Neodiprion lecontei: one gene and its partner. The protein of the gene in region 1 purifies or fractionates together with the protein of each later gene. This does not show direct contact. Links are inferred from orthologs where the notes say so. Each region holds a gene or a part of one and is shown in the gene's direction. Other genes may lie near its edges.

Evidence for each region. Proteins that work in one complex are often made in the same cells at the same time.
Region 2: the proteins of glycogen synthase kinase-3 beta (region 1) and GSK3-beta interaction protein purify together in Drosophila melanogaster (affinity purification with mass spectrometry, with the first as the bait; 3 studies listed by BioGRID). This does not show direct contact. The link is inferred for Neodiprion lecontei from reciprocal best matches to the Drosophila melanogaster genes sgg and CG11523.

The regions. Positions count from the first base shown.
Region 1 is NC_060265.1:25,392,417-25,397,226, forward strand, and holds the start of glycogen synthase kinase-3 beta, read left to right. Parts: upstream 1-1,679; 5' UTR 1,680-3,653; coding exon 3,654-3,840; intron 3,841-4,810.
Region 2 is NC_060264.1:26,315,678-26,318,513, reverse strand, and holds GSK3-beta interaction protein, read left to right. Parts: upstream 1-1,798; 5' UTR 1,799-1,916; coding exon 1,917-2,267; 3' UTR 2,268-2,318; downstream 2,319-2,836. Other genes in the region: F-box only protein 39-like, read right to left, coding at 8-234, 300-464, 542-774, 882-1,073.

The DNA.
Region 1 (4,810 bases):
CCGAATCCTGCCTGCATCTATCCACGCGTCGTTTTCTCATTACATATACATATATATTAGAATATGTATGTATGTATGAATTATATATATATATATATAGGGAAAAACTGATGCAAGCATTGGAAATTGATTGGATATACTGGGGGTATAATGTAATAAGATAAGAATCAGGTGGGTTTCAATAATTCATTTTTTGTTCGTAAATATATATAATAGTGTGCGATTTTTCTCACGGTTAGCAAGTAAAAACTTTTTGGCGAGAGACGCGCCTTTCAAGTTTTTTCCACGCGCGGTCGTTAGCAGCGGATAATATGCCTGCGTACTGTAAATTTGGCATGTTAGATATAGTCGTGACGTGTGTACGTGCATGTTGTAAATTTTTTTTTCAAAGAATTGGAAAAAATCTATCACACAATACGCGATTCTGATTCCCGCCTTGCGGGATCCGAGAAGCGAGTTGTCGGGTACAACAGGCGTGCAATTATAGACACACACACGCATTCGTATACACGTACGTAATGCGGTCATTCGCGTTTTCTGCAAATTTCCTGCGCGGACTTTGCGTCGATCTTTGTTTCTTTGTCTCACCCCCGGATCGTACCGCAATCGTTGTTATTGCCAAGTGCGATTGTGTGTATGTGCGATTCTGCGAACGATTCTACGTACGTACGCGAATATACATAGTATGTGTATGCGGTATGGAAATGATGACGTATAAGGTGCCTTGTGTGCCTCGTGACGTAGGCGAAATATCGACGGTTGCCGACGATTTTCTCCATCCTTGCCAATTTCGTTGCGACGCGCTGCTTTCCCTATCCCCCGTGTATTTATAAATATAGAGAGCGACGTTTGCAGATATTTAACGATATATTGATTGTTATTATTAACTATCTTATTATTGTATTAACTGTAATCTGTGCTGTTGAATTATTAATTACACGAAGAGAGAAAGAGGGAGAGAGGGACCAGGAATTTAATTCATACATTCTCGCAAATTTCAAGACAATTTAATATATTTGTAATCCTTTTGATTTGAAAATTTTGTTTCTTTGTACGTATGGCATATAACGCAGTTTAAGTGCTGGGGAAAAATATTTCTCATATTACGTATATTTCGTATATTTCGTATATTTCGTCTGATCCACGGTCTCGTATTACAGGTTTTGTAATTTTTTGTTTTTCCATTCGTCGGCGACTCTTAATAGAAATTATACCGCAAGTAAAAATGAAATCATTATTACCCCAAAACCCTCCAAGAATCTGACCACTATCCACATGATAAAAAAAAACAAGGCTCTGTTTACACACTTCCCATTTTTGCTACACTTGATTATCGAATGTTTTTTCAACAAACTTTTCAACAATATTTACTATAGAATTGGATAGAAGAAAAAACAAAGCTGCTTGTGTTCGGTGAAACAAAGATTTTACCGACAGAGAGAATTTCCCTCCCAATTATTACGCACATACAGCTATGCCAATGCCACGTCGTGTTATTTGGAATTTTTCGAATCGCATGGTTTGTGCCTATTTTTATCTATGTACAATCATCGTACATGTACGCGGTATAGTAAACGTACGTTTAACACGAGTCGGTCTATTCTCCCCACTCGGTTCGGAAACGCCTCTCTTTCTCTCTGTTTCTCTCTCCTAAGCCAACCTCTTCCCTCATCGTCAGTCGCTATATCATCAGATCGGTGAACAGACGGCCGCGTACAGGTCGCCCCCAGAACTGACCTAAAAATGTGAACAGTTATTCAACCCGGCGACGACAGTTTCTTACTTTACTGCCTTTAAATCTGTGTATATTGCTCGGGGTATCGACCGTTCTCGCTGGTTTTTTTCTCACTTTTAGAAACATTCCCTCATTAATCTCCGCGCGATTAATCACTGACATGTGAACAAACGATGACAAAAGAAATTGGTGAAAAATTTGTGTTTTTCTTCAACCGCGAACCGCGTCGCTCGCATCATATTTGCAATGCGAAGGAAACATACGCGCTTAACATATTTTCGCTTATATTTTAATGATGAAATAATTTCACGCAACTGTATATAGGTATAGTTCGTATGTGAAGATTTGAAAAAGAAACGAAGAGTTGAGAGGATAAAAAGAAAGGAAGAATGGCGATAAGATTCTGTGTCCGTGAATGCTGTGTGCGTCGTTATCACGAGTAACATTCAAACGTGAAATGTAAAGTATCGCATTTCTTCTTCACAAGTGGATAATGTAATTTTAATCATCATTATTGTAATTTTCCGTTTTTATACATTACTCGTTTAAATGCCGTGACGTATGTAACTGAATCGTTCGTTCAGTGCCTGACTACAGTGTATTCCCGGACATCCATCGCGCTGTGCAGCGGTAGAAACAGGGATTTGCGTTACTGGTGAATTATTTATCGATCCCGGCTTCGCGCTACAGCGTTGAATAAAATTAATATATTGTTTGGATTTGGATATCGTATCGAGAGTGGTGTCGCATGTGTTATTAAACCTCGTCTCGCCTTCCAGTGCTCATCGTCGTCGTCGTCGTCGTGTCCAATAATAGCGTCGCAAGTGCACGGACCAAGTGTGTGAAATTAGAATAGCATATACAAATATGCGAAATCGAACGACTATTAACGCGGAGACTGTAATAAATGATAATATACTAAACTGATAAAAATCAACACTCCGGTATCGAAGGTGGAAAAATTATCACATCTAGTGTATTTGATTATAATATTTGGTCTTCTCTCTTTACATACGCGATTTAATCCAGCGGCGCCACGGCTCGTTTTTATTGCTGATATATTATACGGCAAATAAATATTTGAGCGTGTTTTACACGTAGTACGTTTTTTTTTGTTTTCAAATGAAACATCTCGAAAGTGGTGGAAACGTAAAAAGGAGAGAAGAAAAATCTTTATTTGCACCAACTGATATCGCTCATATTCTGCGTGCAGACCGCTAAAAATAGAGCCGACTCGCTGACAAAATATTTACCGCGAACAAACAATATTCGTCAAATGTTCACGGGGAAGTAAATTGAACTGTTGATGTATAACGGAGACGAAAAAAAAAATATACATACATTATAAAATAAAATCTTATACAGCCTCTTATACATCACTCACGTGTTGTTGCGTATAAACCATAGAGTGACGAGAAGTGGAAATCTTATTGATAAACTAAAACGGCGAATAATCAAATTTCAACAACTAATCCATAATTCAATATCTACTCGAGGTGAAGAATATTATTCAACTCTTTTCTCTCCGTAATACTATTCTTGCTTTTTAAAATCCTATAAAAATGTTCGTCAGTCTCGAAATATTGTGTTTACACATGTATAATAATTCGTGGTGGTTCCAGTGATATCACTCGGATATAAACGAAGATTTTACAGGCTTACGACGGTTAAGCCAAGACTTTGAGTCCGTAAGATTTAAGGATCGATTTGCATTTTTCTTTTTAAATTCGTGAATGAAATTCACCGTGTGTGTGTATACATATTTGTAACACGTGTAACCAAACCAGTTTATAACGAAGCGGAAATAGGAATATTGGCAAAATACCGTATAACCTTCCTTAAAACGTGAAATAATCCAGTACACTGAACGATATACTTGTACAAAGTTGTTAAAAAAAAAAATAAAACAAACAAATAAATGGCGCCCGCGAACACGTTGAATTGGTCAGAACCGCGCCAGGAATGGCGTTATCCAAAATTCTGTCTGTCGGGTCAAAGGGGCGATAAACCAGCGTCGAAAAGCACGTTGGAAGTCAACGAAAAGGAGGCCGACAGTGCCTACAAGAAGATTTGCAAATTTTTACGAAATCTCGGTGTTAAAAAACGTAAGTTTTTTTTTTCACGCTCTATATATAATGCGCTATAACGCGGGTGATCTTTTTCATCCATGAATAAATTATTATCATACTAGTTCGTGGAGTTGTTTCGAAGAAGATTATAAAATGAGAAAGAAATTCCGACGGAGCTTTGACCCTCGCTCGTGAATGTGAGTGAAACAAGCAAAATGGAGATTTGTTGTTGTCTGCTTTTGAAATATTTCGGTACATCTAGACGTGCCATTAATACATCAAACCACGTGTTCGCATCGCGTGCTTGATATATTTGTCTGTATTTTTGTCTCGCGAATACGAATTTTTATTGTGACGGATAAATTTTAAACCGATTATTGTGTATTATTGTAGACAAATAGTCATGGATGCGTATGAAATGAACAACTTGCACAGAGATGACAAGATGTCGTTACTCCAATATCGTTAATTGCTGCTTAATTTGCTAAAAAGTGCTCTCGTAACTCGCAAATGAATTCTTAACAAATTACGAATGTTGTGGATAATTTTTCATACGGTTGATCAAAGTTTTTTTTTTTTTTATCAAATCCCGAGTCTACACAATTATCGTGATGATTTCTATAACGGTCAAGTTAGAAAAACAAACTGCCAGCGCAAAGTGATCTGCTTAAAACTAGTCGACAAGCTTCCACGTTTACCCAAGTCAAAAATTATTGCTTTCATAAAAGTCAAAAGCCGAGAGCTACTTCGGTTGTAATTTTCTCCCCCTTTTTTTATGTTCTAAAGCTTACGTTTGACTTAAGGCTAGGTGAATCTTTGTGAAACGTAGCTGTTTGTCGTTGAAGTAGGTGTACTGTTCGAACTATATGCTTATAAATATACGCGTTGGCAAGCGAGACGTTTGCTTAACTTCAGCTCCTCGTACGATCTGAATATTCATTTGGTTTTATGCATTAATTTATTGTGCCGCGCCGTTCCTACGCAATAAGTACCCGCGAGTATTGTA
Region 2 (2,836 bases), on another chromosome or scaffold:
TTCATACCTATTGTGTAGGAAACTGTCAGCTTAGGACATGCAACGGCAAGTTCATGCCAAGCTGTGTTAGCAATTGTGTGTTGCCTGGAATCAGAGTCTCGAACAGATATATGAAGTGTGCGAAGAGCCAAGGGTACAGCGCTGGCTAAAGCATTGAGGGCACCGTCCGATAAAGCTGGATAATCTAGTTTCAGAGTTGCCAAAGCTCGTAGTCGACCAAGTAAGCGCAGATACCTAGAAAGTAGATCCGACTTAAGGAATCTATGAAACTCTTATATTATGTGGTGAAAAAGAATCACCTGGGGTTGCTGTGAGGTGCTTGCCATTCCCTGAAAGCACCTCGAAGATCCAATGACTCTAGGCGATTCCCAGATGCTCTTACCGCAGAGCCCAAAATTCTCAAAACGTCACTGACTCCTAAATTAGCATTCAATAGGTTCAGAGTCTCAAGATTGTGCTGGTAGCTGTGATGATAAAAAATGTCTCGTGACAGACGCTTTATTGTTTTTTATTTCTGTCATTCATTCTTTGTATTGCTCACCCTAAGAAATTAGCTAACGCGCATAGAAGTTTTCCTCGATTACCCCACTTGCAACTGAATACCCAGTCGGCGAGGATGAGCTCTTTCAATTGCACATCTTTCGTTCTAATGACGTTGAGGAAATCTGCACCCGCTTCTGACTGAATGTTACGTGCAAACCGTGTCTCCCTTGGAATTACATATGGCCTAGACCAAGCTAACTCCAGGCGACGCATGTACTGCCCGTACTTGACCTTGGGATAGAAAATTGAAGATGTTTTAACATATTATTGGTAGGCAGATTTTTGACATATTAATGGCCAGGATTCTGAAAAAAATTATCATTGCGCAAGGTAACCACCGCAAGCTCTTTTGCAAGTGGTAATTCACCACGCAGATCACGATCGATGAGGACTGTCACTGAGCGCCAAAGAATGGGTGAGGACATGGCATGCTTCCATGATTTGCAGACCTCTCCCAAATTTGCCCGGTCTCTGCTGTTTAAGTGCCTGAATATTTCTGTAAGTATCAGCTCTGGCAGCTGATCCCACATCTCCCAGCTTCAATCTGTCCTGACCTCATCTCATATCATCGTCGTTACATCTGAAGTACCTCTTTCTCATCGGTCATCATTGCCATCTATATCTACTCACTCGGTTGTACCAGGTGTCTTAAATTTTATGCAATTCAATCTTATTGTTAGACCAAAATTACAGTTTGACGTAAGAACATGGGTGTGACTCAGCAGTATATCATTAAAAAAAACTGGTGATGTCAGGTAAGATAATACATGAATGTCAAGGTACAGGAAGCATTCTGTCAGTTATGAGGTTCTCATTTTGTTGAATAGTTATTGTGAAGTAAAAAATATGACTAGAACGTACATTCATAATTCAATACAATTCTCTTGCGGTAAGAAATTGAAGAGTATTTTTTCAAATAAGAAAATCTGATCTTTTCTCTTATAATTAACGATTTACAAGAAAAAATTTACCTTAATTTCATTGCATAGTTATTACTCATTGTTAATGGCTCGCTGTTAGAGATCAATTTATTAACTATTCATCACCAGATAAATAAGACAATGCAGGATAAGGGTTGAAAAAAAGCAATATCAATAAAAATAAACTGTTTTATACCTTTATTAATTTTTTATCAACAAGATTATGTCTTACATATGTTGATACGATATTTTTCATTTTACTAATATATTACCGATTTTATTTCAGTAATTTGAATATTTGAAAAATTAGTAAAATCTTCACATTTCTGTACCAATCGGAACACCGAAACACCTACCTAACCTGACCCGTATTAATATACACGTAGTCTGTTGGTTAAATTTGTTGTTTCGTGTACAGAGGCGAAAAACTAGAAATAAGTAGCACAGGCTAAAATGGAAAGTAGTGAAGACAAAGTATTTGATAAGGAGCAGTGGAAACTTGAGGCAGAAGCGGTGATAGCTGATGTTAAGTGCCACGTCAAAGAATTGAAATTATCAGACAAACTACCGAATACGAACAATCGTGTGTATTTAAACTTGACGACGCTGGAAGAAGTCAAATATTGCGTAGAACTGTCGCCCCTCGGTTTTGCCGTCGTAGATAAGACATACGACAGCGATTTGAACCGAGAAGCTCAATATTACGAAACCCCTTACAGCCTGCTGAACTACATCAGCCCTGAATATACGCGGTCCTTTGGATTGTTGCTCCACGAAAAACTTAGCAAAATCACACATAAATAATGCAATAAATACGGTGTACCGTCGTACAAAATAAAAGCGATCATATTCGAATCGTTGTCCAGAACTGATTCATTTACAATCTTTCATGATTACATCATAACCTGATTATCACAAGTTCGCATGTTCATCATAACCTCAAAAGCAAATTATAGATCTTTCTATTCCACGGTGTAAGAATAAGAGGTGGTCCCGGTGGTTCGGTCCGACTCGCGCCGGATGCTGTTATTATTTTAATACAATTCAACAGTCGAGTCCAGGTGTCGCTTGTGCCGAAAATTTAAAGCGTCTTTCAGAACAGTTTGTATCCACGCTAAAGTTAACGTCACACAATTCATCAAGTTCACTTTTTAAATAAATTATGGTTTTTGGGAGCGCCGGACAACGATAATGGTGTTTCCGAATGCCGGCATCTGTGCTGACATTAGGATACACAGCAGCACTTTCCAATATTTTTCGTCACGTGAGAAACCTGGCAGAGAGCCAGGAAACCTTATTTAAATAATCCTTAGTCTGTGCCCCCTGACACACGTTGCTAAAAGCGGTTCGCAAAATGTCCCTCGATTCTGCCG